4 linked regions of the Lonchura striata genome follow. The protein of the gene in region 3 interacts with the protein of the main gene of each other region in a pairwise test. Links are inferred from orthologs where the notes say so. Each region holds a gene or a part of one and is shown on either strand. Other genes may lie near its edges.

Region 1 (7,706 bases), on a different chromosome or scaffold from region 3:
AGCTCCTTTTTAACATGAAATTTACATAGAGGAAGTAGATAAAATCATGCCACTAGTTTGAAAATCCTGAAAACAATTATGGGGAAACAAGAGAAAAATATTAAATTCAGCATATTAAACAACATAAATATTTTTTTTTATTGATAGACCATTCAAATAAAAAACACTCCAGATACTTGGTTACATATGCAACACGTTACAGGTAATAGAACTATAGTGTAAGATTTTTAAAACACTGGCACAAATTTTAAAAGAGTTAACTAACAATGTCAGTCATGATTTTTTAGTACAAATTCAAAAAAATCTCTGATCTGAATGAATGCATGACAGGCTCCAACATTTTCATATATGAGATACAACACTGTCTCATTAAAAACAAACCACAATATAAACCAAGCAAAGCAGTTTCTCATGAAAAGGAACCTTTTCCTACAAATAACTGTAACTACATGTGCAAGACAAGTAACATCAGTTTTAAAATCCTGCTTTTCTCTTTTGTTTTAATCAGTCTTCATTTCATTTTTATTTACATTAAGAACTCTCCTACACATGCTCTTCATTAAAAACAAAACCCCTCAAGAAAAAATCTGACACCCCTCCCTCAAGCCAGCCCCACAGAAACTAAGAATACAAAAATATGCCTTTGAGGAATATTCTTTAAAATTCCATAAAAGCATCATACAAATCATATGTAGAACTCTCCCATGATCTCCCTTACAGTTGAAACCTCAAAAGTTCTCTTTATTCCAGAATCTTCCTATGGCTTCATCGCTCAGTTGAACAATGAGTTACTGAAGCTGCACTGGCTGTACAGCCAGGCTTGAGTGGAATCCAGAAGCCTCCTCCAGCTCATGCCCTTCCTGCAGCAAGAAACTCAAGACTAAACACAAATTTCTGTCCCTCTGGGACCACATCCCTACTGCTGGTCATATGACCAAACTGCAACAGAAGAACAGAAGAACCTGCTCAACAATCACAGGCTTCCTCACTGGAGTAACATGAAACTGATAGAAAAAGAGAGAGATACTAAAATACCACTGGAATTAGTTGTATTACATGCTTACATACTAATTTCACTAAAAGGACCTTTCTGTATTTGTACAGCATTATCTGAAAGTAATAAACCTTAATTCTCATGTGTAAAAGTCATACACATGAAGTGCCAAATGCAAAAAAGAGATCCTACAGTATTTAACTGACATGAACTTCCATTGTTTTGTGCAGAGAACACTGCTTCTTTACCATAAGCTGAAATCCTCTCATTGAAACCTCTCCTGACATAAAATGCTGCCCTGCTTTCAATGTTTTTGATCACTTTTATCTTACCAAGGAAAGGACAAACTTTGCAGATTGGGACTCCTGAAGCCCCATACTTAAATCCTACTTTCTGCAACTGCTATTTGTCTCTAAAAAGGCCACAACGCTGGTTGTTTTATTAAATTTTCTTAATAAATACCATGTCCCTCGTGTGTTTCTATCAAAACAACTGGAGTATGCAGACTCAGGAACATGCAGTGCTTCTAAATATTCTGACAGCACTTGATGGGGGAAAAAATACCCCTTAAGAAAAAGAATAATTCAGTTAGATTTTCCCTAAAATAATAACAGAATAAAAATGTTTGGCTTTCCAACTTAAAACATGTTGATGTGCAACTTTTTAACTGTGTTACTAACTTGCCAGGGAGCAGGTATGTTTCACGTGAGAGACTGTCAACTCACCCTTCCCCAGAAGGCAGAGAAAGTACAAGTTACCATCTCACCTTGTAACTCTGAATGTATTATGCTTTGTCACTTCAATTTCACAAGCTTTGCTATTAAACTAGAAAGCAATTCAGTAATAAAAAGTTAATTCATACTGTGATAGACAAGGCCACGTAAGAAGAGTGCATCTGTTAAACTGTTTTCAAAGCCAGACTGAAGGTCACTGAAGCAGAGGCCATCACAGCTGAAATCCAACACTCGCCCTCTGAACAGCAGCTACTTAACACCACAACACTCGCCAAATTTTGCAACCCAAACCTACTCAGAAAGAGCACTCCCCAGTTTTTATGGATCTCAGAACAGCAATTTTTTAAAGGACAGCACACGGCTATCTTACTTGACTTCTTAAATAAATTCGACATAACAAAACAAAGTAACAGAACTAGTATTAACACAATAAAGTTGAAGAGACATTGGCAAAGTGCAAGAAAAAATCCAATTATACTTTGAACAGCATTAAAACAGAAATAGGTCATATTTGGGAACCTGGATAAAACACAGCAGTTCACAGCAGCATTTTCCTCCAAAACAGGAAATACTGCTCGGCACACAGAAGTACATTATATGAACTGCGATTTCTCTAGCGGTTCTCCCAGTCCGTGCTCATTACACAAGCCCAGCCAAGCCAGGCTCGGTGACGAGATGGCTCTGAGCGCACAGGGACAGCCCCGCCTGCCGCTGCTTCTCCTCGTACTCATTTCTCAGCCTTGCGAGCTCTCTCTCAGGAAAGAGAAGTAGCTGCAGCCTACACTTCCCCACACCCGGGGGCTGTTTCTGCAGTCCCCAGAACACGGTTCCCGTGCCAAAGAAGACACCGAGGCTCAGCCCTGACTGTCCTTTCCCTGGAGGGCTGGAAGGGACGGCAACGTCCAGCTGGGACGGGCCACAGGCACCGTCGCGCGAGGGGCCTGGCTTTCGCCCAAGGCAGAGGGCAAGCCACTGCCGGAGGTGAGAGACGCCAGGGAAGGAGAGCGCGGCCCGGCCCGGCCCGACACAGGCCGAGCGCACCCCGGGGCTCCGGGGGCTGCCCCGCGGGGCGGGAGGCCCGGGCACCGCCCCAGCGGATCCTCAGAGAGAGCTCGCGCGCCTCCCCCGTCTCGGCGGCCCGGAAGGCCACAACCGACGGCGCTGTACCCAAGGCGGGCAGGCAGCGGGATCCGCCCGCTCCTCCCTCACTCGCTCCCTCCCTCCCTCGCTCACCCGCTCGTGGAAGATCGACTCCATGTTTACTGTGGCAGCCGCAGCCCCCGCCCCACGTGACCCGCCCGGCCAATCGCAGCGCCCATCGCCCCCCGGCCGCGCAGGGCAGGCCCCGCCGGCTGCGCCCGGCCCGCCCGCCGCTCTGGCGCCCCCTGCCGGAGAGGAGGCCGGCGGGCTAAACCGTCGCTGGCCGCGAGCGCCCCCGCGCGGCAGCAGCGCCCGCGGGGAGCGACACCCGCCGCCGGCTCGCTCCTCTGCCGGCTGGCCCCGCACCGGCCCGGGACCGCTTCTATCCGCACCGGCCCGGGACCGCTTCTATCCGCACCGGCCCGGTACCGCTTCTATCCGCACCGGCCCGGTACCGCTTCTATCCGCACCGGCCCGGGACCGCTTCTATCCGCACCGGCCCCGCGCCGCTTCTATCCGCACCGGCCCCGCGCCGCTTCTATCCGCACCGGCCCGGTACCGCTTCTATCCGCACCGGCCCGGTACCGCTTCTATCCGCACCGCCCGGTACCGCTTCTATCCGCACCGGCCGGGTACCGCTTCTATCCGCACCGGCCCGGTACCGCTTCTATCCGCACCGGCCCCGCGCCGCTTCTATCCGCACCTGCCCGGTACCGCTTCTATCCGCACCGGCCCGGTACCGCTTCTATCCGCACCGGCCCCGCGCCGCTTCTATCCGCACCGGCCCCGCGCCGCTTCCCCCGCACCGAGCGGAGCGGCGCCCGGCACCGCTCCTGCCTTGTGCTCACCAGCTGCGCACTCCTTAGACCCTCCTGGTCCGCTCACAAAGCCTCAATAACTGCTTAACCACTATTCCAAACAAGCCTACAGAGACAATCCAGAAAGCAACTTAAGCAGGTTCAGTACCTGTCAAACACATTCTGGATTTATGGAAGTATTTCTTTGAAGGCTAGTTCATGAAATAGCTATAAACACACGGATTCCACACCATACACAGCAATACCAACATAAATGATTTTTGCATAGTTTATTCTATAATTCTTCCTCTCCTTTCCAGAGTAAGGAAGAAAATTCTCTCAATGCTTGTGGACTAATGGAACTCCTGAACATATATGAGTCATGTAATTAAATCATCTTCAAAAAGTAACACCAGATATTAAACTAGCACTGATGAACTGCAGATGTCCTTTACTGTAGTATCCTCTCAGGGTAAAAATCATATTCCTGTTCTTTCAATATGTAAGACGATGAATCAAACAAAAATGTCTTCCTTTTCATCATCAGCTTTTATTTCCAAGTTACTTCTTCACCAGGCTTCAATTCCCTGTGTAGAAAAAAACCCAAAAAACAAGAGGGAAGAGACTAAAATTAGTATCATTATTTTTAGAATAATTATTAATATTTGTGTTAGTTTACATTCAACCATACCTTCAATTTGAGATTTATGTAAAAATTTAATTTTCCTTGCAATTGCTGTCAGTTAAAAATCTTTCCATACTGATAAACTTCCTCCTTTCTTTCAAAAGCTTCAATGGATTGAGTCCTCTGAATTTCCATTCATTTAAATGGAAGCACAGAACAGCTGACTTCTAAGTAGTTAACAGACTTTTAACTGGATCCAAAATGAAAAATTCTACTTTTTTAAAATGTAACAATTCATTACTTTAGTGGAAAGAGAAATGTGAAAGAAGAAGGGATTTTTACAAGACACCGACATAGCAGCCCAACTTCACTAACAAATACATTAAGAAAAGTGCTAATGTATCAGGGGAGTGGATTATGTCAAAAGCTTTCTTTCTTATTCAAAATGAATTTAGGTGAGGCCAGAGGAGGAAAGACAAATCCACTAGAAAACTGATAGCTACTATCAGTTTCTGCAACATGACTTTTTTCTCTCCTCTTTTGTTAACCTCAAGACCTAATACAGAATTAGAACTGACACAGGTGAGTCAATGCCTGAAGTTCTCTGATGTAAATACTCCCTGAGGAACCAGAGCCAGAAAACCCAAACTCATCAGTGTATATAATCACATAATTCAGTGAAGACATAGCAGGTTGTATGTTAATTTTCAAGGACTTGGTAATTACTTTTAAGTAACACACATTTATAAAAAGAATTTTGTCAAAAAGCACTGTGATAATTTTAAATTTAAGAAAGAAAATAAAAACTCAAGCACTGTGTTTTCTGCTGAAGTTACAGAGAGTTAAAATAATGGTTTCCATATTTCATGACCACGAACTTGACAGCAGTTAATGATTCTTTCTTTCATGAAGATGATAGCTTCTAAAGATTCCGTTTTCAGAGGGTATTACTGACCTAAAACACTTCATGAATGCTTGATATTTTTAGGCCTTTCTTCCCTTTTTTTGGTTACAATCATGACTAAAAAAGAACTGAGAAGCACTTTGAATAATAACTATATACGTATACAAGAGGCATCATAAAGCAGACCTTTTATATAATAAGCTCTTGTTTCTGAAGGCAGACAATCTTTCATCATTCCATCTGTCCAAATAGCATCCAATCACAAATCCTAAGGGAACAAGGATGTGAACCCAGTGTTCACGCACAGCTTGGGCGAAATTCACCATGACTGCTAGAAAGAAAAGTGTAGGAGGTAAGAGGTACTAATACTTGTGCACTTGGAAACTGGTGCATGCTTGGCACCTTTACTCTCACTTATTAGGATTCCACAATTACATAATATACATGAAGGCTATCAAACACTTCCTGGGAGAAACATGCTGCTCTCAAACCCATACCCGGCCTTCTTAGAAATAATCCTAAATGTTAACCCTGGGAAAAAGGATTTCATCCTAAAACAGGAGAGAAATAAAACATCTCTTTAATTTACTCTTTAAAGCAATTCTATAGAAGTTTGCTACTCTGTAAAGCATTAGAAACACTTTCATAACCTAAACTTCTGTAGAAGGAGACTTCATTATCTGCGTCAAGTCTCAGAGACTGACAGATAAGAAAGGACTTTTCTAAAATCACAGAATGACAGAATCATTACAGTTGGAATGGACCTTTGGAGATCATCCAGTCCAACCTCTCTGTCAACACATCCTGGTGGTTTCTCAATGTCTCCAGATAGGGAGACTTCACGGCCTCTCTGGAAAGCTGTTCCAGTGCTCTGTAACCCTCAAATTGAAGAAGTTCTTCCTCGTCTTGAGGCAGAACTTCTTGTGTTTTAGCAATGGCTATTGCTCCTTGTCCCATTGCTGGGCACCAACGAAAAGAGTTTGGCACCCGTCTTTGAGATATTTACACCCATTAGTGAGATCCCCTCGCAGACCTCTCCAAACTATAGGGGCCCAGCAAACCTTCCCAACCCAACCAAAGCCTTCCAGATTAGGGAATTACACGGGATGGCAGTGAGGTCTGTCACACAGCCGCGGGCTCGGACCCCGGCCGGCTCCCGGGGGCGAACTCCGCCGCCGTTCGCGCCGCGGCCGCTGTGGGGCGGCCAGGCAGGCGGACAGGCAGGCGGACAGGCGGGCACCCCTGCGGAACCCCCGCCCCGGGCCCGGCCGCTGACTCGCGGCACGGCCCCACCACCTCCCGGCTCAGCCGCCTCCGGCCTGCCCGGGACCCGACCGCCGTAAAGCCCCACGGCTGAGGGGCGCTCGCTCCCGCCCGCCCGCCGCCGCCGTGTCCCGGCCGAGGCGCTCCCGGCAGGCCCGACAGCGGTCCCGCCCCGCGCCACCCCGCCATTACCGCCGCTCGCGCCGCAGCGGGACCGCAGCGGCCGCGCCAAGGGCACCGGGAACGGGCGGGCCGGGCCAGACCACGCGCTGCGCGGGGCCGGGGGAGGAGCGCGCTCCCCCCGGCAGGCTCGCGGTGGTGCCGCCCGCTACCCTTCCGCCCGCTGCCCCGCCTCCCCGCCCCCGCAAGATGGCGGCGAGCGCGGCGCGGGCTGGGGGTGGTTGAGGGCGGCAGGTACCGGCTTCTTCGCATCATCATCCTCCTCTTCCCCTTGTTCTCCTCGTCTCGGACTGGAGTGCGCGCACCGCTCGCCCCCGTGTCCCCGTCCCCGCCCGGCGAGAGGCCAGGCCCGGGCGCCAGGCCCGGTGGGGCGCTGGAGCCCCGGAGCCCCCGCGGGGCGCCCGGCCCGCGCTGTGCCCATGGTCGGGCAGGCCTGGGTTGGAGGGTCGCGGCCCTGGATGTGCCATCTCTGGGTGCCCCCATCCAGCTCCGTGGAGCTGCTGTTAACCGCGCTGCTCTTAGGGATCCTTTTTAAAATTATTCTTGATATTTATTGTAGAAAATTAACCCCACCTCTTTCTAATACCTGCAAGAGTAGAATGTTAATGTCTGCGACTTTAGCAGCTGTATTGAACAGTATTAACACCGTTAGCCTGCATATTTTCAGGAATATGTGAAGCTAGATCTAAATAACATCTAAGTGAAACATTTTGTCCCCCATTCAGATTAGTTCTTTTGGAGATTAAACACTTGGAGAGGAAAATGACATCGATTATCAAGTTGACTACGCTCTCGGGGGTGCAGGAGGAATCTGCCCTCTGCTATCTTTTGCAAGTAGATGAGTTTCGTTTTCTTTTGGACTGTGGCTGGGATGAAAACTTTTCTATGGATATTATTGATTCTCTGAGGAAGTAAGTAGTTCAGTTCATACACCTGTTAAATTAGGGCTTGGTCTATCTTAAAAGTTTTCAAAATTCCACGCAGTGGTATAGTGTTGCTAAATGCAAAATTGTTCTTTTGTTTTGTTTTGTGTATATTTTACATGAAGGGTATCACACTGCTGAAACAT
Region 2 (7,738 bases), on a different chromosome or scaffold from region 3:
AAACCTCTCCCCCAAGTACAGAAGAGGTACTTTTATCTGTAAGGATGGAGAACTGAGATCATTTATTGCCAAGCTAAAAATTCTGTGTGCACATAGAGAGGAACTGATTAAACTGCCCCAGACCTATGAAAATTTCTGCTGGGGCGATGAAAAATAACCTGAATTCTCCTGAAGAGAATGGGAAGTGCTCTGAGTTCTGGCTCATTAAAACATCCCCCACCATACCTATAAGCTGCAATTTCGATGTCCAGGGCCATTTTCACATTGAGCAGGTCCTGATATTCCTTCAAGTACCGAGCCATCTCACTCTTTGTGGTTCTCAGCTCATTCTCCAATTTGTTGATTGTATCCTGTTGGATGGAACAACATTGACAGCATAAAATTCTGTTCTCAAGCCTAGCAATAATCACAGGGAATTTCTCCAATCCTTTTAATTTAATCTTGCTCTAGCAGGCAGAAACTGCACAGCTCCCACTCTCAGCCAAACAGCATCATTTAACACCTTCTTGGTAGGTTTTCTACCCCACATTATTCCAGTTCTATTTAACACAAAAAGCCAAATTTTCTGGTACCCAAGTGCTAAAGCACAGTGAAATCTGTATTTTGTTTCATTTTGATTTTGACCTTTATGTACTTTTTTTAAATTTTAGCTTAGGGATATCCATTGTTAATTCTTGCGGGTCCCTTCCAACTCGGGATATTCTGGGATTCCATGATTTTCTGGTATAGTTCTGGCTGCATCAGTACATGGACACATGGATATTGAGCTTTATCAGGGGCATTTTGCATTCTGATTTTATAACAGCTCACACTTTAGATAAGCAGTACCAGAACTAATGTCTGGGATGATTTTGATAATTCAGATCCCGATTTGGGTCTGTATTTCCACACCACATCCTCCTTTATAGCTCTGTGGCATTCTGCACTGGGATTTCAGGATGCCTTATCTGCAGAGATGCCCCCGACAACGCCCCCAAACCCGATCCCCTCATCTGTGAGGCTCTGCAGCCACGACTCCCCTCACCAGCAAACCCTGACCCCCCTCACCTGCAAAACCCTTCAAACCCCGACATCTCCTCACCTGCAGATCCCTCCAAAGCCCAACATTCATCCCTTCACCTGCAGAGCCCAGCAAACCCTGACCCCCCTCACCTGCGGAATTCTTCAAACCCCAACATCCACCCCTTCACCGCCAGAATCCTTCACACCCCAATGTCCATTCCTTCATCTGCGGAGCCCAGAAAACCTTGGAACCCCTCACCTGCAGAACCCAGAAAACCTTGAAACCCCTCACCTGCAGAACCCAGAAAACCTTGGAACCCCTCACCTGCAGAACCCTGTAAAACCTGAGCCCTGTCCCATGCAGAGCCCTGCAAACCCCATCACCCCCTCCCCTGCAGAGCCTTTCAAACCCCATCACCCTCGCATCTTCAGAACCCTTCAAACCCCATCATCCCCTCACCTGCAGAGTCCTGCAAACCCCATCGTCCTTGCATCTTCAGAACCCTTCAAACCCCAACTTCTCCTGACCTGCAGAGCCTTTCAAACTCCATCATCCCCTCGCTTGCAGAGCCCTCCAAACCTCATCACCCTCGCACCTTCAGAACCTTTCAAACCCCATCATCCCCTTGCCTGCAGAGCCTTTCAAACCCCATTATCCCCTCACCTGCAGAGCCTTCCAAACCACATCATCCCCTCACCTTCAGAACCTTTCAAACCCCATCATCCCCTCACCTGCAGAGCCTTCCAAACCCCATCATCCCCTCACCTGCAGAGCCTTCCAAACCCCATCACCCTCACAACCTTTCAAACCCCAGCTTCTCCTGACCTGCCGAGCCCTGCACACCCCCTCATCCCCTCCCCTGATGGACCCCGACCCTCGTCCCCTGAGGGACCATCCCAGCCCACGCCCCCTCACCTGCAGCGCGGAGATATCCGCGCTCTGCTTCTCCTCCAGCTCCTGCAGCTGCTTCTCCAGCGCCTCGTTCATGCCGCGGGTGGCCTCGATCTCCAGCGTCTTGGCTTTGAGCAGGCGGCGGCTCTCGGACACCTCGTCCTTGGCGGCTCGCACGGCGTCCGTGTTCTTGGCGGCGCTCTCGCTGAGCACGGTGAAGCGGCTGCGGAACCACTCCTCGGCGTTCTGCATGTTGCGCGCCGCCAGCTTCTCGTACTGCGCGCGGATGTCGCGCAGCGCGGCCGACAGGTCGGGCTTGGCCGACACGTCCATCTCCACGGACAGGTGAGCGTACTGGATCTGCGCCTGCAGCTCGGCCAGCTCCTCCTCGTGCACCTTCTTGAGGAAGGCCAGCTCGTCCAGCAGGCTGTCCACCCGCTTCTCCAGCTCCGCCCGCGCCAGCGCCGCCTCGTCCGCGCCCTTGCGCACCTCCAGCAGCCGCGCCTCCGCATCCTCGCGGCTCAGCACCTCCTCCTCGTAGCGCGCCTGCAGCCCGCGCAGCGTCTCCTCCAGGCTCTCCCGCTCGCCCTGCAGCGCCTGCTTCTCGCTCGTCGCCTCCTCCGCGGCCAAGCGCAGCTCGCGGATCTCCTGCTCGTAGAGGGCGCGGAAGCGGGAGGGCTCGGCGTGCTTCTGCCGCAGCACCAGCAGCTCGGCCTCCAGCACCTTGTTCTGCTGCTCCAGCTCGTGGACGCGCTCGATGAAGCAGGCGAAGCGGTCGTTGAGGTCCTGCAGCTGCGCTCGCTCCTGGCTGCGGATGGACTTGAGGTCGTTGCTGATGGCGGCCACCTGGCTCAGGTCCAGGCTGTCCACCGAGTGCAGCAGCGAGCCCGAGGCGCTGGAGGCGGCGTAGCTGCGGCGCACGGACACGGAGGACACGGGCGCGGACAGGCTGGAGTACGCGGAGCGCGCCGAGCCGAAGCCGCCGCCGCTGCGCACCGACACATGGATGCGCGGGCTGTCCGCGTAGCGCCGCTTGTAGGACGGGAAGAACGGGTCGTAGCCGTACGAGCTCATGGCTGCGGGGGCTCCGGAGACGGCTCTGCGGCGGGCACCGCCCGCACCTCGATATTTATGCGCGGGGAGGGCGGGCGGTGCGGCCGCCGGGCGGGGACGGGGCGGAGCGCGGAGACACCGCGGCGGGGAGGCGACGCCCGGAGCGGTCCAGGCACCGCCGCCGGGAGGGGATGCCCGGAGTGATGCAGGCATTCATTCCCTCACTGCTCTGATGGCCTCAGCGGCACGGGCAGGACCTCGCCCCAGTGATGCCCGGGCAGCTCCGGGCATCGCGGCAGGGAAGGGATGCCCGGACAGCTCTGGCCATCACGGCAGGGAAGGGATGCCCGGACAGCTCCGGGCATCGCGGCAGGGAAGGGATGCCCATGCAGCTCCGGGCATCGCGGCAGGGAAGGGATGCCCGGACAGCTCTGGCTATCACGGCAGGGAAGGGATGCCCGGACAGCTCCGAGCATCCCCGCGGGCGCGGGGAGCTGGGACCGGCCTACTCCGGAGCAGCCTGGGCTCGGCCCCACCTCATCCTCTCAGCCCTGTCTCAGCCCTCCTTGGGCACAGCCTGGGCCCTCCCGGGGCATCTCCCGGCCCCCCTTCGGGGCCCTTTCAGATCCAGCTCCCCTCAGGTCTATCTGCACCCTGCAGCCTGCCAAGGCTGTGTTTAACACCCCGGCTCTGCTTCTCCACAGCTGCCCTGGCAGAAGCTTCGGGAATGTGCTGCAAGCTCCAGCACATTCATTGTGGCTGAGGTTGCCTCGGTGAGGCTGAGGGACACCCAACCCTGGCTGCAACTCAGAACCTCCAGATGTGTAAATAGTATATTTTTTTTCCCCTTCAGTTTGCAGTTAGCACAAGCATGAGTGCTCTTTGAGCCCCTGCATCTTCCCCATGTCCATTGTTACAAGTGGTCCCTAATAACCAGGGATTATAGCATCATGGAATCGTGGAGTTCTTTGGGGTGGGAGGCACCTTAAAGCCCATCCAGTCCCACCCTGCCATGGGCAGGAACCCTCCCACTGTCCCAGGCTGCTCCCAGCCCCATCCAACCTGGCCTTGGGCACTTCAGGGGAAACCCAGCAGAGTTATTTGTCCTTTCATTGCATGAAAGCAGCAGCAGAAACAGGGCAGTTCTCAGTCCTGGCTGATACCTGGTTCCTTGAGGTGCCCTGGAGCCGAGTCTGTCTGAGACATGGATCACAAGGACAGGATATTTATCCTTGTCTAATCTGGCTAATACAGAGATTAAATTGGACAGCTGCATTGCAGCTACCTCTGGGCCAGGCTATTACCACTGCTTGATTAAAGCAAAGCAGTATTTATGTAGTAAGGATTGATCAGAGGGAAATTAGAGATGTATTGAGCACAGGCTGCATGGGAGGCTCAAAAAGAGAATGAGAATTCACCTCTTGCAGTCAGAAGGGCAAATATATCACAAAACAGCCTCTTCAAGGGTTTCTCAAGGAAGGAATAAAAGTCAGTAAAGATTGGGGGACATTTATTAGATACCACAAAAATGCTGAGGTGCTTCCCAAAGAAAAGGGAAGGACTTAGTAATGTGTATGAATTAATGTGCCTGTCAGTAATTGCAGTGGTAATTGGCTATTTCTGGCACAAAGAAATGTTTATTTAATACCAGCCTTTAGGAAAGATAGAGCAGGGTGGATTTAGTGTATTTCCTGCTATTTTCCAGAGACCTCACACAGAGCGTCACCTGTTGTGTGACAGCTTCTCCATAAGTTTCAGGGTATTTAAACACAAGGATCATTGATCTGTGAAGGGCAACGGCCCCTCAGAGGTACAGAGCTGCAGTCCCTGCTCATCAGAGCTCATTCTGCATGGAATGAACTGTACCAAGAGCTCATCAAGGCTTAAGTGCCACTTCTATCCCAGCAGAGCTGGTGGGAGACTTCATTCTGCAAATCTGCAGAGTCCTCCTGGCAATAATGCAGCTGCTCTCAGCAGCCAGCCCTGCAAGCCCGGCTTCTTTCTGCCTCGATTTTTATTCAACATTTGTTTTTTAAATTCGAGTTGTGGCTGCATTCATGCATGTCAGAGCAGCCATTCATTATTCAGAATATGCAAAGGAGAGCAGCATAGGTAGAGTCTTCTGTGTTAATCTATTTTATCTTTAGCAGAGATTGGGTTTGAAAGGGGAAGAAATGAGGAATAGAGACACTGCAGAGAGGAAGATTCCCAGCTTGTTGGTCAGGATCTCAGGGAGCTGATATCTTCTGGAATACTCAGCCCCTGCAAACTGAAATACCTTGTTTCATGCCAATGAATTTATGCTAATCTGCCCTACAGCAACCTGAGCACAAGATTTAATTATTAATGCTATCATTTCTTATGCCATGTATTAATAAAGGAATGTACCTCAGCTTGTAAAAACCACTGTGCTTCAGATCCCAGCAAAGCAAGCCTTGTAATTGTGTAATTGTAGGCTGTTAATATCCCTTCTTGCATTTTTTTTGGAGTGGAAAATCCTTTGCTGTGTTCCAGGAGCATGGGGAGGAAGATGGGTGTCAGCAGACAGCCCTGCAGTGTGGAACCTCCGTGGGACTCAGGGTGGGGATGGAGCTTTGGCACTCCAAGGAGCAGAAATCCACTCCTGAAGGCATCCTGCTCTCCAACCTTGTATTTCCAGGCACAGGGGAGTGCTGCCAGATTCCACCACTCCCTTTGTGTCCTTTTTGTTGCTTTCTGCCTTAATGCAGAGCATGAGCAAGCCCCTGGATGTGTGTTAGAAAAATCAATATTGTGAGCAGAGGAAGGGCATAAAGCAGGCCAGGATGGAGTGGCCTGTGCCACTTGTCTCATCTGAGACACCAGGAGCCACAGCAGGAGCTGGGTTTAAGCCAGCCCTGACTTTAACCCCCACTTAAGGCCCCCGGATGATCTCAGTTGAGCTGAGCTTTGTTGTGCCCTAAAAAGCTGCTCTGGGAACCAATCTGAGCAGCAGCTCAGCACTGTCCCCCTTTGCCTCTGGAGGTGAAGCTGCTCCCTCACCACTTGTGAGTCTCCCCAGGTCATCAACCCTTCAGGCAGAGAATCCCAAACCCAGCTTCACCTCTTGAAAACATTCCCTGGGTGTCCCAAATAATGCAGATTATTCTGAGGGATGATGCAGAAATGACAAAGCAGCTGTGCCCCATCCCTGGAAGTATCCAAGGCCAGGCTGGAGCAGCTTGGGACAGTCCCTGTCCCTTGGGAGCTGTCCCTGCCCATGGCAGGGGTGGCACTGGGTGAATTTTGAGGTCCCTCCCAACCCAAACCATTCCATGATTTCAAATCCCACTGCTGCCCGAGGAAAAGCAGCAACTCCGTGGCAAAATATTTCTGTTCATTCCTTTTCCTCTGCTGCATCCATAAATAACACATCCCCACCTGCAAGTGGCATTTCCTCAAGGAAAAGCTCAGACCTGAGCCCTGTGCTGAGCGCCAGGAAATTACCTGAATGTCCCCAGTGAACTCTGTGGGGATTTGCCTTTTTATCCCTTTTTAATCAAAGAATTTCATGTTAGAAACTGCAACAGGGACATTTCAGTCTTCATTGTCTGCTGCTGCTTTTATTGCAGAAGCACAGAAGGAGCTGTGCCTGCTTACTTGGGATTTACACAGAAATCAAGCAGTCCTGAGTAAAAAAACAAAAGCAAAAACATTGGTTTTCCTTTAAAAAAAAAATATTTCTACCTCATAAAAGCCCAGCTCTGAGGGAGTGGGGAATCAGACACTCCCACATCTAAAAATGTTCAATAGCTCTGATGTCAGGTCTTATGTATTTATCTAAAATTATATCAAAGTGTCTGCATGAGTTGAATTAAAAAGGCAAAAGAAAATGCTCTGATCTATTTTGATGAAATGAAACAAAATCTCACATTTTAGGAATTCCTTTTCCTGTATTCCAAGTAGTCCTTTTAATATGAGGCAACACTCACAGGAATTTCCAACCCAAAGCAGAATTTTGTCTGCAAGGACTGAACTACAGCCTCTGGGAGACTCAGAAGAAATGCAAATAAGTGTTTAATTTATCTCCTTTGAACCAGTCTTTGCTTTGTTGGTGCCAGATATAGCAAGTGCCTGGGCAGCTTGCATTATTTTATTATTATTTACACCAATTTCTGCACACAGTAGCAGCAAATTGCTCACTTTGAGTTTGTTCTCTCTCTTGATTACAGGAGCTGGAGTAAGCAAGCAGCCAGTTCTTTCATCTGAGTTCTATCAGGGAACGCTTAATTAGAAGATTCATTAATTAGCTTTGTTTACTTGTTGGATCAGGCCTCCAAACTAGACCACAACATCTGATGGCAGATCCCAGGGCTGGTTCTTATCTCACACAATCAATTAAATTGATGTTCTGCTTTTGGTTCCAGCAATTAAACATCAGCTGAGAGGGGTTTTGGCCAGATCCTGGAGTGGTTTGGGTGCAAGGGACCTTAAAAAACATTTTTATTCCATGTCCTGCCATGGGCCCCTTCCTGCAGGCCGAGCTGCTCCAGCCTGGCCTTGGGCACGTCCAGGGATGGGGCAGCTTCTCCAGACAAATAAAACTCCTGAAAATAAACCCCTCCCAGCCCATTTGGAAGGAGACAATTTATTAATTTGCAGTCTCGTTGCTTTAATTGCATTTCTGCCCGTGTGAGGAGCAAGGGTTGGACCCAAGGGCACAGCAGGAGCTGGGTTCAAGCCAGCCCTGACTTTAGCCCCCACTTAAGGCCACCGGATGATCTCAGTTGAGCTGAGCTTTGTTGTGCCCTAAAAAGCTGCTCTGGGAACCAG
Region 3 (7,595 bases):
AGGCACATGGTGACATCCCTTATTTTGTTCCCAAGAGCTGAAGAGCTGTTGGGCTTCCCTATCTTCCTGATGACTTTGGACCCCATTATGCCAGCATCAGAACAGCCAGTAAGGATTCCATATACCTGGTGGCTGTATTTTTTGCCCATCTCAAAAGTTCTGATGAGTTTAGACTGGGTGGTTTGTGTTTCTTGCCTGAATTCCCTCACTCCTTCCTGCATTTTCTTTTCTCGAGGACCAGCTTCTTGATGGAACCCTTCTCCCTCCTCCCCTAATAACTGGTGATACAGACCCATTGTCCACTGGGTTTTTTCCACAACTGGGGCAAGCATCGTTGATCCTGTTTGGGCCCCTATCTCTACTATCACCTCAGATGGAGTTTGTCCCCAGTCTCAATCAAGTTACTCTCAGAGGTGGCTGGGGTTCCCGAGTTAAACACAGCCCTCTGGCATCCCTGAACTGTGGCTTTGCAGGCACATGCCAAGCCCCAGTACAGTGCCAGAACCTGCTGGTTTTCACTGGGGTAGGCACCTTTGGCATGTCAGTTTCCCAGGGTTACTTGCTTGTTCAGGTGGAGTCCCAGGCTATGGGAGGTGATAACTAGCCCAGGCACTTGCCCAAATCCTGCCACCCACGGACCAGCCACCTCAGGGCACATTTCAGTATTGACTCACCCAAAAAATTGTCTTCTCTTACATTAGGATGACATCAGAATACACAGACCCCATGATATGTCAACTGTGTTAATTACTAGTATTAAACATCTCATGTAAGGCTGAGCAGGAACAATAAAGCCACCCACACCAGGTGGGAGTGGGAAATGGGATCCTCTCCACAAGGCAGCTCCCCCAGCAGAGCAAGGCCATCTGTGCCAGGGCAAAGCACAGAGCCATGGTTTGTACTAACATGTTCCCAAAGCCCAGCAAAGTAAAGAGATAAGAAATGCAGCCAACAAACACCGTGACTCAACAGGAGCTGCCTACTTAGTAACTACTATGGCTAAAGCACACTTAGCACAGAACAGCCATTGCCTCAGGCCCCACACTGGGCACTAAACTGTGGTGGGCTGACCCTGCCTGGACACCAGCTACCCACCAAGCTGCTCTCTCACATCCCTGCTCAGTGGGAGCGGGGCAGGGAGAAAGTAAGATGGGAACGGAATTTGTGGGCCAAGATAAAGACAGTTTAATAAAGCAAAAGCAAGGCTGCATGTGGGAGCAAAGAAAAACTAAATATTTATTCTCTACTTTCAACCAGCAGGAGATGTCCGGCTACCTCCTGGGAAGCACAGCTTCAGTACACAGAGCAGCTGCTCCAGAAGACAGATGTTTGAATAAGGAATGCCCCCCATGTCCTTTCTCTTAGCTATTGCTGCTCAGCAGATGCCATATCGTTTGGAATATCCCAAGATCTTGCCCCCACCCCAGCCTGCTGGTGAGGTGGGAATGTCAGAGACAGCCTTGATGCTGTGGGAACAAAAGCCAAAACACTGGTGTTTTATCAACACCTTCCTAGCTACCAATACAAAACACAGCTCTATGAGGGCTGCTAGGGGTAAAGTTACCGTCAGACACAATCTCAGTCAGACCCAAAACAACTGTTTATTTAAAAAAAAAAAAAAAAAAAAAAACCAGAAACTTTTAACAAAACCACACCGAACAGTGAGGATCCGAAAAGCAAGGCAGCACTGGGGGCATCACAAAGAGAAATGTTCTGCAGGCCCTGACCAACCCAAGGGCTAGATGTGCAGACAAGCACCTCCAAGCGCGTAAGACCTTGTCCACTTCTCTCTCATTCAGACAGTGATACTGTTTATTAAGCAGGTAAGGTTGTAAATTAGAAACCTGAATCTCTTGTGCATCCTCACTGGGTGCCCAGGCACCTGGAGGGCTCCAATGGTGGCAAGCTTTTAAAAAAAGTTCAGTTTGAAAGCAACCACAGTGGCAGCTGCAGCTTGGAGGAAGCCACCTGCTTAAGTGCAACACGAAGAGTATGTCATAGCATAAGATGTGTGTGACATGCTACATTTCTTCTTGCCCAAAATCCTACAGAGCTGTCCATTTTTCCCTTGTTGCCCTGTATCAGCACAGAACATCCCCTCTAGCTCAGAAAGAAGGGAGAATGAACACATGTATATCTGCAGTCTAAGGAGAGTCACCTTTTGCAGGAACTTGGATTTCACTCCATACCCTGAACCCAAATGTGAGAACAGGGCTAGCTCTGGAAGGACAGAGTCCTCTGTGAGCTAGGAATCATGAAGCAATTAATAGATTGCAGGCTGGTGATTTGCCTTCTGCATCTGAATGATCTTGCCAAAGCCACCTCTTCCCACATCGTAGTCTGTCCGGTATTCATCTCGCACCTGGGGCACAGCAACAACACATGTATTAATAGCCAGCACTGCCTGTCCCCTACTAGACTTCAGAATCATCATCCCCTCCTTGTTCAGTTGGTGGGGAACTGAAGTTCAGATTAGAAGCACTTCAACTCGTCTGAGATCTCTTCAACTAATCCACCAGAAACGTGGTAATGGTGGTGAAAATGACCAAAAGGATGTATCTGATTGTTGAGAATTTTTCAGGTAAGAAGCAAAGAAGACCCCAAAGTATTTTTGTTCAGCTTTTCCATACACCCTTTTGAACTGCCAGATTTGGCCTTCAGAACATTTTATCTCATCTAAACCTCATCCTTGCCCTTGGGGAAACTGCTGTTATTGAGATTGGCCTGGCAGCCACACTGCTTCCCTCTACTCAAATTCTGGATCATTTCAAAAGTACTAGCTTGGTTTAGGGAACATTCTGCTTGCATTGCAGGACTTTTGGAGTCCTAGACAGAAGTGGCCTTAAGTTCTATTTCCAGCCTTTAACACCAGGTGTCAATTACCAAAACAACCTGGGAGTGAGTAAACTTCATTATCAGGTCTTTACAGCCTGCACATTGTTCTCCCTAGGACAAAATCAGCAAGTAAGTACACGGAGTCTTAGAGGATCAAATTCAGGGATGAACTGGCATTGCCTTTACCTGTCCTCCAGTCTTTCCTCTCCCATACTGTCGCCCCTCCTTAAACCCTGCATCCCAGTCCGTGCGGATGATGCGGTCGTCCAGCCGTGTGCCGTTGATAAACCTCATGGCATGCTCAGCATCTGCTCTCGTGTAGTATCTGAGGCACTCTGTAAGAACAACTAAGTGTGCTTTGTTGGGTACAGGGAAAAAAAACAGGGAAAGTATTGTATTTGAGAAGCAGAACTCCCCCCCTACTGCCTTCCAGCCTTTTCTACTCTTCCTGCTCTTCTCTATGAGATCAAAAACTGCACTCATGTAAATCTAAGCTAAGACCAGCTAAGGCTCAGAAAGGATTCTGTACTTTAATGTTAGTACCTGCACAGACAAGACAACGAAACAAGACATTAAAGCCTTGCTAAGGGCAAGAAATCAGTAATATGCCTTTTTGTACTATGTAAAGCTTGACTGAAATAGAACAAAAGGAGCAGGCTTCACAGGAGAGCTCTGCATAGACAGCTCCTGGCACAACCTGTATAAGCATGTACCCTTTGCTTGAAAACGCCCCCATGGCTTATCCAGCTACTTCCTTCAGGTGTAAAGTTGAGATAAGAAAGTAAACGTGCTCTGGACATGGAAGACATCAGACTGATGAATGTAACAGCTCTCATTCTGGCCATAAAACCATTAAACGAATGAATTAAAGGGGCTCTCTGCCGCCTCCAGAAACTACAGCTCTGGTGGCACTTGTCACGTATGGCACCACTACACAATCGGTCTCAGGGCACAGTGAGGAAGGGGCAAGGATGGACGGGATGTGCCTGGTAGGAAGCACTTGGCTATCACCTTTCCAGCAGCAGTACAGATACACTTGCAGTGCAGAGGAACTACAGGCGCCAACCACATCCCTACTGACAAAAGGGAACCAGAAAGGATACTCTACAAAGCAGAAGCCACAGGGGGTTTTCTTGATCTTGTCCAGACCCATGACAATTCTCTTGACATCTCCGCACTTGGAGAACAGCTCCTGGATCTGCTCCTCGGTGGTGTAGAAGGAGAGATTACCGACATACAGCGTGGAGGAAATCTTCAGGGATTTCTCCTGCAGCTGCCTGCTACCCTGCGGGCACAGAGGCGCACGCCGCGGGCTCAGCGCGCTCGCCGTCCCGCTCCTACCGCCCCGTGCCCTCCCGCTGCCCGGCTTCTCGCACGGCCTTGCCCCGGCCTCAGCCCTCCCCGCCCCGGCCGGGCCGGGCCGGGTCCCGCCACCCGCGGCGCCGGGCGCACCCGGAAGTGCTGGTCCCGGTACTGGCTGATCTCGCAGTACGAGTCGCTGTTGAGCCCGCTGAGCGTGGTGTGCAGCAGCCCCGACATGGCGCCCGCCGGCCCCACCGCCGGGATCCTTCCAGAACCGCCGCGCGCCGGACGCGGGGAGCGGCGCGCGAGAAACGCCGCTCCCGCCCCGCGCGATTGGCCGCGCCGGCTGTCACTCAGGCGGGGGCGGGGCGGAGCCGCCGGACAGCCAATCGGCAGCTCGGGGGCCCGCCTGGAGCGCTGGGCTGGGGCGCGCAGGCGCAGTGCGGGGCGCAGCGCTCCCGCTGAGGGGCCATGGCGGGGCCGCGGGCGGCGGCCGCGGAAGGTGCTGTGGGCCCTGGGCTCTCCCCGATAAGCGCCGCCCCTGGCGGCTGACGTTGGGCTGCGTGTCATGCCCCGCTGTCCTCCTGTCTTACAGCGCTGGTGCAGGAGCTGCTGAGGGAAGAGGCGCCGTCCCGCATTGCTGCCCTCGCGGAGGAGCTGTTCCAGGCGGCGGAGAGCATCTCTGAAGGGGATGGGAAGGTGGCGGAGGGAGAGTCCCCCGCTCCCAGCCCGTCTGAAGAAACGGGGCGTGCATGTGCTTCGCACCCCACAGCCCTGGCCCAGGTTGGTGCTGCAGCTCCCTAAACACCAGCTGCTGCTGCTGCTTCCCATCCTTGGCGGTGAGGCTAAAAGTGTAACACTACTGAAACGTAAAGAAAAGAGTTCACTTCTTCGTCATTTGCCCCAATAGCGTAAAAGTCCAAAATAAAGTGGGAAATGTTATTTTTAAAAGTCAATGTGAAATGATCTTGAATGTAAAAATATGTGTGTCAGTAACTCTGCTCTCATGAGACCCCACCTGGATACTGTGTTCAGGTCTGGGGTCACCAGCATCAGAAGGATGTGGACCTGCTGGAGGAAGTCATGAAGGTGACTGAAGGGCTGGAGCACCTCTCCTGGGAAAGGCAGATCGAGTTCAGCCAGAAGAGAAGGCTCTGGGGAGAACTTACAGCACCTTTAGTGCCTAAAGGGGTTCCAAGAGAGCTGGAGGAGGACTTTGGCCAAGGGCTTGAAGTAATAGGAAAAGGGGAAATGGCTTTACATTGAAAGTAGGTTGACTTAGATTAGATATTAGTAATATACTGTGAGGGTGGGGAGGCCCTGGCAACAGGTTGCCCAGAGCAGCTGTGGCTGCCCCATCCCTGGAAGTGTCCAAGGCTAGGTTGGACAGGGCTTGGAGCAACCTGGTCTGGTGAAAGGTATTGGAACTGGCTTGTCTTTAAGGTCACTTCCAACCCATCCATTCTATGATAATAATGGGAAAAAATACTGGTTACTTGTGCTGTTAAGGTATATATTATTTCAAACTACTAGTAGTATCTAGTTGTAATTTCAAGGAAAAATGGAAGCAGAGAGCACTGATGCATTAAGCATTTGGTACTGGATCAGAGGAGAGGCCCTTCTCACCTTGTCTGTGGATTCCCATAGTGACAGCAGATAACCCAAGGAAGAAGAAAACAAGCAAGCATGTAATTTTAACTGCCTGGTAAACAATATTCCAGTACACAATATTATATTTGAGGTACTAATTTTCAGTCCTTGCTAAAGTTTATCAGATGGTTGTTCATAATGTTTGCTTTTTCCTTCTGTTTATTTCTCCTAGAGGAGTACTTAGAAAGAAGTAAACATTACTTTTAAAACTCTTTTTTCAAAGAGAAATCTGGTAATATATGAATCTGAAATAAGGAAGAAGACCAGCTGAGATATAGTCCAGCTTCTTCCTCTAAAATTATATTTTCAAGAGACATTTAATAAGTAGCAATTATCAGCTAAGGAACACTGGTTTTGGAAGTCCTAAATTTGCAACAAGGAGCAAAATAAGTTAGCAGGTGTAGCAGAAAGTGTCAATAGTACAGTTTGTAAAGAAATACAAGAGCATAAAAGTGCTATCCTTAAGTTCTTCCTGAGTCAATTGGGGTAAATTATTTTTGAAGAAAGGAGAAATCATTCATTTGTAATCTGGCCACTTCAATAAGAGGGGCTATGAACTCTCTCCTAGATAGGCAAGATCTCTCATGAAAAGTAGAATAAAGTGATGGAAAATGCAGCCCCTCAGGTGGGTTGCTAAAGCAGATTATTGCTTTTATGTAGTGTTGTATCTTTTGAACAAGAGTATATACTCAGTAACCTTTGTTCTTTGTTTGCTAATATCCAAAGTTTCCCAGTGTAGGTATTTAAAGTAATTAAGCTACTTAGTGTTCTTTTTGATGTGCAAAAGAGGTGAAGCCTTACTACAGGTCGTTCTCAAATGTGATAAGAATTCTTAGAGTTCTTTTCCAACCCCTTCAGATTTTAGGTGAAGAAATGCTGCATCCATTCAGCATGCCTGTTTTCAGGTCACTGTCCAGCATGTCCTGTGGGATCCTGTGACAGTTTTATGGAAAGCTCACACCTTTCACTCTGGTGTAAACGGAAGTTGACAAACACTTGGAGAGGCCATTCCTGTGAAACACATGAAAGATGCTTATTTTTCAGTAGTAAATTTCAATTGGATCCATATCCGGGACAAAATTTAATTGAGTGGAATTCTCCCCTTCAGGTTGAAGAGAGTGCAGTCAGCTTGTGGAACTGGACTGTGACCAAACACACAGCTGCTGTTATCAGTGATGAGCAAAGAGCCAAACGTATGTATGTTCTGTACCTTCCTAAAGGTGTTCTATGTGCTGTAGCATGGAAACTAAACACTCTCTGCTGCCAGGCACATAAGTAGTGCTGTAGATTTGTTTGAGCCTTTGTAGACATGGTCTAGAAAGACAAAAATGTACTGGTGGGCTTGTATAAACAGTTCAAGAAGAAGCATCCTAATGCAATACTTATCTTCTTGTGACACAGAATCAGTGTAGGCATTTTTATCACTCTCCTTTCCATGCCAGAGCACCAGTAAGGAGGTGATGAGACCAAAGGAAGCTGTAATTTGCCTTCTGAGACTGTGGTTCAAATCTAAAAATGTATGGAAATAACACAGATAAATTTTAGACCGTTGGTCACTTAATTTATATCAAGTGAGATAGTTACATTAAAAAAACAATCTCATCCACGTTTACATACAGAAACATTCTAAGTCCTCTTTTTATTGACCTGCTTTAGCCAGGTGCACAGCTGGTAGGTTCTCTTGGGCCAGGGGCAGGGCTGGGGGAAAGCAGAAATGAGCTTTTGGGATTTTGCCTTAGTGTGTTCTTTCTGTGGTTTTGTGGGATTGCAGTGTCAAGCCTACATTCTTGTCCTGAGGGATTATAGTC
Region 4 (7,011 bases), on a different chromosome or scaffold from region 3:
GGAATTTCCCAGCAGCTTTGATGGAGCTTTGTTCATCAGGTAGAAATGAGGGGTTTGGTGGGAAAAAGGGTCTTGGGAATCTTCTTTTTGAGGGAGACAATGCTGAAAAGGTTGAGGCAGGGCTGTGCCTGCCTGCCCAGCCCCTGGGCAGTGTCCCTGTGGCATGGCCACGTTTTGGTGCCCAATCCTGATGTGTGAGAGCTGGAAGCACCGGTGCTGGAGAGCGCAGTGAGACAAAATTCCTGCTGCCCTGCTGGAAAAGCCCCTCTGGATCAGAGCCGGGTGGCCCAGCCTGGGCTGGCAGAGCCCTGGGACCGACAGGCTCCAGATGAGCCCAAAAGGAGCAGGGCCACGGTGCTGAGAGCTCAGGGGCAGCACAGGAAAGTCTCCCCAAGAAATCAGGACATTTTTCCCCATCAGCAGCAGAGGACAGGAGCTCCTGGAGCCCCAGGGTCAAAGGCAGCAGCCCCTTGAGATGTTGGAACCTCTGGGATCACAGATGCCACTCTCCATTTCCCTGTTGCAGCATCCCAGTGATGCCTTGTAAAATGATATTTTCCCTCTGGAAAAGCTGGAGAAGCTCTTGAGCAGATCCTGTGAGGGCAGGCGGGATGGACACTTGGCCCCAACGTTCCCCACGGGTGACATGGCAGAGGACACGGTGGCAGCACTGTGGCATTGCCCTGTGCCCAGCCCAGGTTTTTAGAGAGCAGGTGGCACCTGGATCATCTTGCTGTCATTTGTCACCTCCCCTGGGATGGTGGCCAACACTGCCCCTCCTCCAGCACTGTCTGTTCTGCAGCCCTGAGTGTGACACCCCACCCAGGTGCTGCTGAGCTGCCACTGTCCCCATCCCCAGTGACCTCCCGTGGTCACCAGAGATGTCACTGCCCCAGAGATGTCACTGCCCCAGAGATGTCACCCCCCCTGGTGACACAATTCCCCCAGAGACAGGACCCCACTGGAAATATGACTCCCCCCAAGATGTGACCACCAGTGCAAACCTGCCCTGGAACCCAAATCCTGTCCCTGTCATTATCCCCAGCATTTTCCTGCCTCCCCAAAAAGCTGCTGGCACAAAACTCCCTCCTCCCAACCCCTGTGGGGTGAACAGGGACCCCAAAAACCCTTCCAGGGACTGCCAGCCATGAGGGCAGGCAGGATGTTTGCATCTGCCCATCACCCTGAGGAGTCTGTGCTGCTGATTCAGTGAATAATTAACACCATAATTAGCACAATAATTAGCTCATCCCCCTCAAACCATCCGGGGGGGGCTTTATCCATACCCTGAGACTTTGCCCAACCCACCCCGCGAGGATAAATGGCACAAATAATCCGACTGGAGCATCTCTGAGGCCCGAGGATGAGGAGGCTGCCCCCAGCCGCGGCTCCTCGGCGCAGAGCTGAGACAAAGGCTGGGAACAAGGGGCTCATGTGATCGCATCGGGGGAGGAAGCGCCGGCAGTGCCACCAGCCCAGCTAAAACACAGCCTGTGCGTTCTCCTGGAGCCTTCAGGCAGCGCCGGCAGCTCACCGAGCTGGGGGTGCCGGGGGCAGGATGCTCCAGGTGTCCCACGCAAGGTGGGTGCCCCAATCCGGCCGTGGGCTGGGGCAAAGCTGCTGCCTGCGGTGCCACCCCTCCCTGGAGGGGTTCCCTGCGTTCCAGCTCACAATCTGCCGAGGAGCCTGAGGAGCACCCCCCAAAGCCAGGGTGGGCATCCAGAGGGGTGAGTGCTGAGCCTCGTGCCCGGCCTTGGTGTCACATCCCTGGCCTGGGGGTCCCCACTGGCCCTCAGGGTGCTCCAAGCCCTGCTGCCATTTCCCCACATTCCCACACCACCCCAGTGCCCACCTTTACCTGCCCATCCACCCGGCCACATCAGCTGGGAAAAAGCCCCGCTTTCCCTTCAGGAGCCACCGGGGGATGTTGGAGCTCCCTCCCCGAGCCTGGACAAAGCTGAGCCCAGCACCAGGCGAGCTCACCCCGTGGCCAAGGGCAGGATCCCCCCGCTCGGACAGCCCCAAAGCGGCTCCCAGAGGCGCGGCAGGATGGAGGGAGCACGGGCAGATCCCGGCAGGGGCAGCCCGGGATGTGAGGGGGTCCTGCTGAACCGAGGGCAGTGGCTCCCGTGGCCCCCTGTGCCTGTCAGCCCCACAGGTGACAATCCCAGGGTAGCCCCCCTGGCTACTGGTTTCTGGGGCTGGTAGCCCCCCACGGGCCATACACCCATGGCTGCAAGTCCAGGGGGTGGTGACAGCCACGGCCACCCAGCCCGTGGGCAGCGACCCCGTGGCTGGAGCCCCCGCGGGCAGCAGCCCCGGGGCTGCCGCAGGTCCCGGCTCCCTGCAGAGCCCCGGTACCCCGGGCCCCGCTCCGGTACCGCTGCTGGCCCCGGGGCAGCTCCAGCCCCGGTGCCGGTCCATCCCCCGGTACCGGTGCTGGTTCATCCCTGGTACCGATCCAGCCTCGGTGCCAGTACACCCCTGGCCCGTTACATCCCCCGGTACTAGTGCTCCCTTCCCGGTGCCAGCACCCCGCCGGTGCCGGGGTACCCCCGATACCGGTACACCCCTGATACCCGTACACCCTTGATGCCGGGTTACCCCCGATACCGGTACACCCCTGATACCGGTACACCCTTGATATCGGTACACCCCTGATACCGGTACATCCCCGATACCGGTACACCCCTGATACCGGTACATCCCCGGCGCCGGTACACCCCCGATACCGGTACACCCCCGGTTGCCGGTACACCCCCGCCGGTGCCGGTAAATCTCCGGCTGTCTGCGCACCCCCTGTGCCAATCCATTCCCGGTGCCGGTCCGTTCCCCGGTCCCGGTCCTGCCCCGGTGCCCGCCCGTCCCTCCCGGTCCCTCCCGGCCGTACCGGGGCTGCGGCGGGGCCGGCGCCGCCCGGGTCGCGCATCAGCGGCGGGGCGGCCGCGGGGCCATTTTCTGTGCGGAGCTGTCGCGAGAGCGGGGGGAGGAGGAGGAGGATGCCGGGGGGAGGAAGGAACGTGCGGAAGGGCGGGCGGGGGCCTGGGGGGGGGACCGGCCCCGCCCCGCCCCGTTCCCCCCCTCTCCCGGCTGCTTTTCCCGGGAGATTCTCCGCACCCGCATCCCGGCGTCTGCGGGCAGCTCGAGCATCCCGGGGTTTTGGAGCATCCCGGGGTTATGGAGCATCCTGAGGGCTTTGGAGCATCCTGCGGGTTTTGGAGAATCTCGGGGGTTTTGGAGCATCCCGGGGTTTTGGAGCATCCCGGGGCTTTTGGAGAAATCGAGGGTTTTGGTTTATCCCAGGGTTTTGGAGCATCCTGGGGGTTTTAGAGAATCCCGGAGAGGGAAAGGCATTCAGGAGCATCCCAGGGTTTTGGAGTATCCCAGGGTTTTGGAGGATCCTGGGGGCTTTCCAGGATCCCAGGGTTTTGGAGCATCCCAGTGGTTTTGGGGCATCCTGGGGGTTTTGGAGAATTTCAGGGGTTTTGGAGCATCCAAGGGTTTTTGAACATCCCAGGGTTTTGTGGGATACAGGGCTTTGGAGCATCCCAGGGTTTTGCAGGATCCCAGGGCTTTGGAGCATCCCAGGGGTTTTGGAGCATCCCAGGATTTTGGAGCATCCCAGGGCTTTAGAGCATCCCAGGGTTTTGGAGCATCCCAGGATTTTGGAGCATCCCAGGGTTTTGGAGCATCCAAGGAATCTGCCAAGTACCCCAGGGACTTTGGAACATTCCAGGGCTCATGGAGCATCCTGAGGCTTCCAGAGTTCTTGGGGGGCTTTGGAGCATCTCAGACTCCTCAGGGCATCCTGGGGCTTTGCAGTGTCCAGGGAGCTCTGGAGCATCCGGGGCTGCTCTGAGGGAACAGAGCCCTGTGGGAGGTGCTGGACCCTTGGAGCATCCCGGGGCCCTCTGAGCACCCCGAGCTCCTGGGAACACCCCGGACTCCTGGGAACACCCCAAGCTCCTGGGGACACCCTGGATTTTTGGGAGCACCCAGGTCTCCTGGGAACACCCTGGGCTCCTGGGAGCACCCCAGATTTTTGGGACCACCCCTCCAGCTCATGTGTGCCCCAAGGAACAGCCCAGGATGCTCCAGGATCCTCACAGCAACAAAAGCCCCTGAGAGACCCCAAATCCCTGGGAGCCCCTGGAGCCCTCGGGAGCAGCCCAGGGAGTGCCTGAGCTGGCCCAGTTCCCGTGTCCCTGCCAGGACCCAACACCCCAATCCCCATCCCCCTGCCACCCACCCACCCCCATTCCCATCCCCATCCCCCTGCCAAGACCCACTGCCCCCATCCCCATCCCCCTGCCAGGACCCACCGCCCCCATCCCCATCCCCCTGCCAGGACCCACCCACCCCCATTCCCATCCCCATCCCCCTGCCAAGACCCACTGTCCCCATCCCATCCCCCTGCCAGGACCCACCGCCCCCATTCCCATCCCCATCCCCCTGCCAGGACCCACCGCCCCCATCCCCATCCCCAGCCCCCAGGAAGGGCTGGAAGGTGCAGGATTTCCTCAATCCTCAGTTCCCAAAGCCAATATTTTTCATTAAAATCAAATCAGACACCTCCCTCTTGCACTCTGCAGTGCAAGTATTCCTAAAAAAGCTGTGATTTACAAGAAAAATCACCCCGAGGAGTGCAGGGGCTGAAAAACCCCCTCATGGTGGGAGGGGGAACCCACAATTTCCAGCGTGGGGCTGTGAGGAGCTGGGAATTCCACGGGAAAATTCCCATCCCAGTGGGGTTGTGCCCTCTGTCAATCCCACCCTGGAGGACACAGGATGCGCAGAACACCGCTGGACCCCAAATCTGAGGTGGGGAGGAAGGTCTGTGTGACATGGGAACAGCTCCAGAGCGGGCTGGGAGGGAGAGAGGAAGAGGAGGACTGGGCTGTGAGGTCAGGGAGGAAGAACAGGGCTGGCTGTGGGATCAGGGAGGAAAAGGAGGGCTGGGCTGTGGGCTCAGGCTCTGTGGGATTATGCTCTGTAGGATCAGGAAGAGGAGGGATGGGCTCTGTAGGATCAGAGAGGAAGAGGAGGGCCGGGCTGTGGGCTCGGGTTCTGTGGGCGCACAGAGGAAGAGGAGGGCTGGGATGTGGGATCAGGGAGGAAGAGAAGGGCTGGGCTCTGGGCTGAGGCTCTGTGGGGTCAGGCTCTGTGGGCTCAGGCTCTGTGGGCTCAGGCTCTGTGGGCTCGGGCTCTGTGGGATCGGGCTCTGTAGGGTCAGGCTCTGTGGGCTCAGGCTCTGTGGGCTCAGGCTCTGTGGGATCAGGCTCTGTGGGCTCAGGCTCTGTGGGCTCAGGCTCTGTGGGATCAGGCTCTGTGGGCTCAGGCTCTGTAGGGTCAGGCTCTGTAGGATCAGGCTCTGTAGGTTCAGGCTCTGTGGGATCAGGCTCTGAGGGCTCAGGCTCTGTGGATCAGGCTCTGTAGGATCAGGCTCTGTAGGGTCAGGCTCTGTAGGATCAGGCTCTGCGGGCTCGGGCTCTGTGGGATCAGGCTCTGTGGATCAGGCTCTGTAGGTTCAGGCTCTGTGGGATCAGGCTCTGAGGGCTCAGGCTCTGTGGATCAGGCTCTGTAGGGTCAGGCTCTGTAGGGTCAGGCTCTGTGGGCTCAGGCTCTGTGGGGTCAGGCTCTGTAGGGTCAGGCTCTGTGGGCTCAGGCTCTGTGGGGTCAGGCTCTGTAGGGTCAGGCTCTGTAGGGTCAGACTCTGTGGGATCAGGCTCTGTAGGGTCAGGCTCTGCGGGATCAGGCTCTGTAGGATCAGGCTCTGTAGGGTCAGGCTCTGTAGGATCAGGCTCTGCGGGCTCAGGCTCTGTGGGCTCAGGCTCTGTGGGCTCGGGCTCTGTGGGATCAGGCTCTGTAGGGTCAGGCTCTGTGGGATCAGGCTCTGTAGGGTCAGGCTCTGTAGGGTCAGGCTCTGTGGGCTCAGGCTCTGTGGGCTCGGGCTCTGTGGGATCAGGCTCTGTAGGGTCAGGCTCTGTGGGATCAGGCTCTGTAGGGTCAGGCTCTGTGGGATCAGACTCTGTGGGGTCAGGCTCTGCGGGCTCAGGCTCTGTAGGATCAGGCTCTGTGGATCAGGCTCTGTGGGATCAGGCTCTGTAGGGTCGGGCTCTGTGGGCTCGGGCTCTGTAGGGTCAGGCTCTGTGGGATCAGGCTCTGTAGGATCAGGCTCTGTGGATCAGGCTCTGTGGGGTCAGGCTCTGTGGGCTCGGGCTCTGTGGGGTCAGGCTCTGTGGGATCAGGCTCTGTGGGATCAGACTCTGTGGGATCAGGCTCTGTGGGCTCAGGCTCTGTAGGATCAGGCTCTGTAGGGTCAGGCTCTGTAGGGTCAGGCTCTGTGGATCAGGCTCTGTGGGCTCGGGCTCTGCGGGCTCACGGAGGAAGAGGCGGGCCGGGCTCAGGGCTCGCACTCTGTGCGCTCACGCTCCCGTCACTTCCTCCGGCGCAGGGCCGGGCTCGGGGCGGGCGGGGCCGGGCTCGGGGCGGGCAGGGCCGGGCTCGGGGCGGGCATTCCCGGCCCGTCCATTCCCGGCCCGTCCCTCCCTCTGCCGCTGAAATCCTCCCGGGGCGGCCCGGGCAGGGCTCGGCCCCCACCCGTCACCCCATCCCACACCCCACACCCCTCACCTCACACCCCACACCACATTCCGCACCTTCACTCCACACACCCCACACCCCATCCGACCCCACACACCCCACACCCCACACACACACCCTACACCCCACATCACACCCTGCACACCCTTCATCACACACCCCTCATCCCACACCCCACATCCCGCACCTCATCCCACATCCCACACACCCCACATCCCCCACATCCCCCACATCCTGCACCCCCAGCCCCACACCCCACATCCGACATCCCGCACCCCTCACCCCATCCCGCATCCCACACCCATCACCCCTCACCTCACACCCCACACCCACATCCCGCACCCTTCACTCTACACACCCCACACCCCACACACTCTGCACCCCACACCCCCCCTACACACACCCTAC

The links.
Region 1: the proteins of TEX11 (region 3) and ATXN3 interact in binary tests that used the Homo sapiens proteins (3 or more experiments, as listed by UniProt). The link is inferred for Lonchura striata from reciprocal best matches to the Homo sapiens genes TEX11 and ATXN3.
Region 2: the proteins of TEX11 (region 3) and NEFL interact in a two-hybrid assay, tested with the Homo sapiens proteins (2 studies listed by BioGRID and IntAct). The two-hybrid records come from large-scale screens. The link is inferred for Lonchura striata from reciprocal best matches to the Homo sapiens genes TEX11 and NEFL.
Region 4: the proteins of TEX11 (region 3) and ZNF414 interact in binary tests that used the Homo sapiens proteins (3 or more experiments, as listed by UniProt). The two-hybrid records come from large-scale screens. The link is inferred for Lonchura striata from reciprocal best matches to the Homo sapiens genes TEX11 and ZNF414.

Annotation. Positions count from the first base shown.
Region 1 is NC_134608.1:16,336,774-16,344,479, reverse strand, and holds the start of ATXN3 (ataxin-3), read right to left. Parts: upstream 3,013-7,706; 5' UTR 2,986-3,012; coding exon 2,962-2,985; intron 1-2,961. Other genes in the region: NDUFB1 (NADH dehydrogenase [ubiquinone] 1 beta subcomplex subunit 1), read right to left, coding at 4,216-4,252, 5,381-5,520; CPSF2 (cleavage and polyadenylation specificity factor subunit 2), read left to right, coding at 7,400-7,548. UniProt on the Homo sapiens protein: Deubiquitinating enzyme involved in protein homeostasis maintenance, transcription, cytoskeleton regulation, myogenesis and degradation of misfolded chaperone substrates.
Region 2 is NC_134634.1:2,824,516-2,832,253, reverse strand, and holds the start of NEFL (neurofilament light polypeptide), read right to left. Parts: upstream 3,005-7,738; 5' UTR 2,969-3,004; coding exon 1,919-2,968; intron 351-1,918; coding exon 226-350; intron 1-225. UniProt on the Homo sapiens protein: Neurofilaments usually contain three intermediate filament proteins: NEFL, NEFM, and NEFH which are involved in the maintenance of neuronal caliber.
Region 3 is NC_134616.1:19,168,211-19,175,805, forward strand, and holds the start of TEX11 (testis-expressed protein 11), read left to right. Parts: upstream 1-4,583; 5' UTR 4,584-4,608; coding exon 4,609-4,639; intron 4,640-4,732; coding exon 4,733-4,920; intron 4,921-6,895; coding exon 6,896-6,980; intron 6,981-7,595. Other genes in the region: nuclear cap-binding protein subunit 2, read right to left, coding at 2,264-2,362, 3,022-3,160, 3,939-4,120, 4,288-4,374. UniProt on the Homo sapiens protein: Regulator of crossing-over during meiosis. Involved in initiation and/or maintenance of chromosome synapsis and formation of crossovers.
Region 4 is NC_134630.1:3,385,557-3,392,567, reverse strand, and holds the start of ZNF414 (zinc finger protein 414), read right to left. Parts: upstream 3,001-7,011; 5' UTR 2,891-3,000; intron 1-2,890. UniProt on the Homo sapiens protein: May be involved in transcriptional regulation.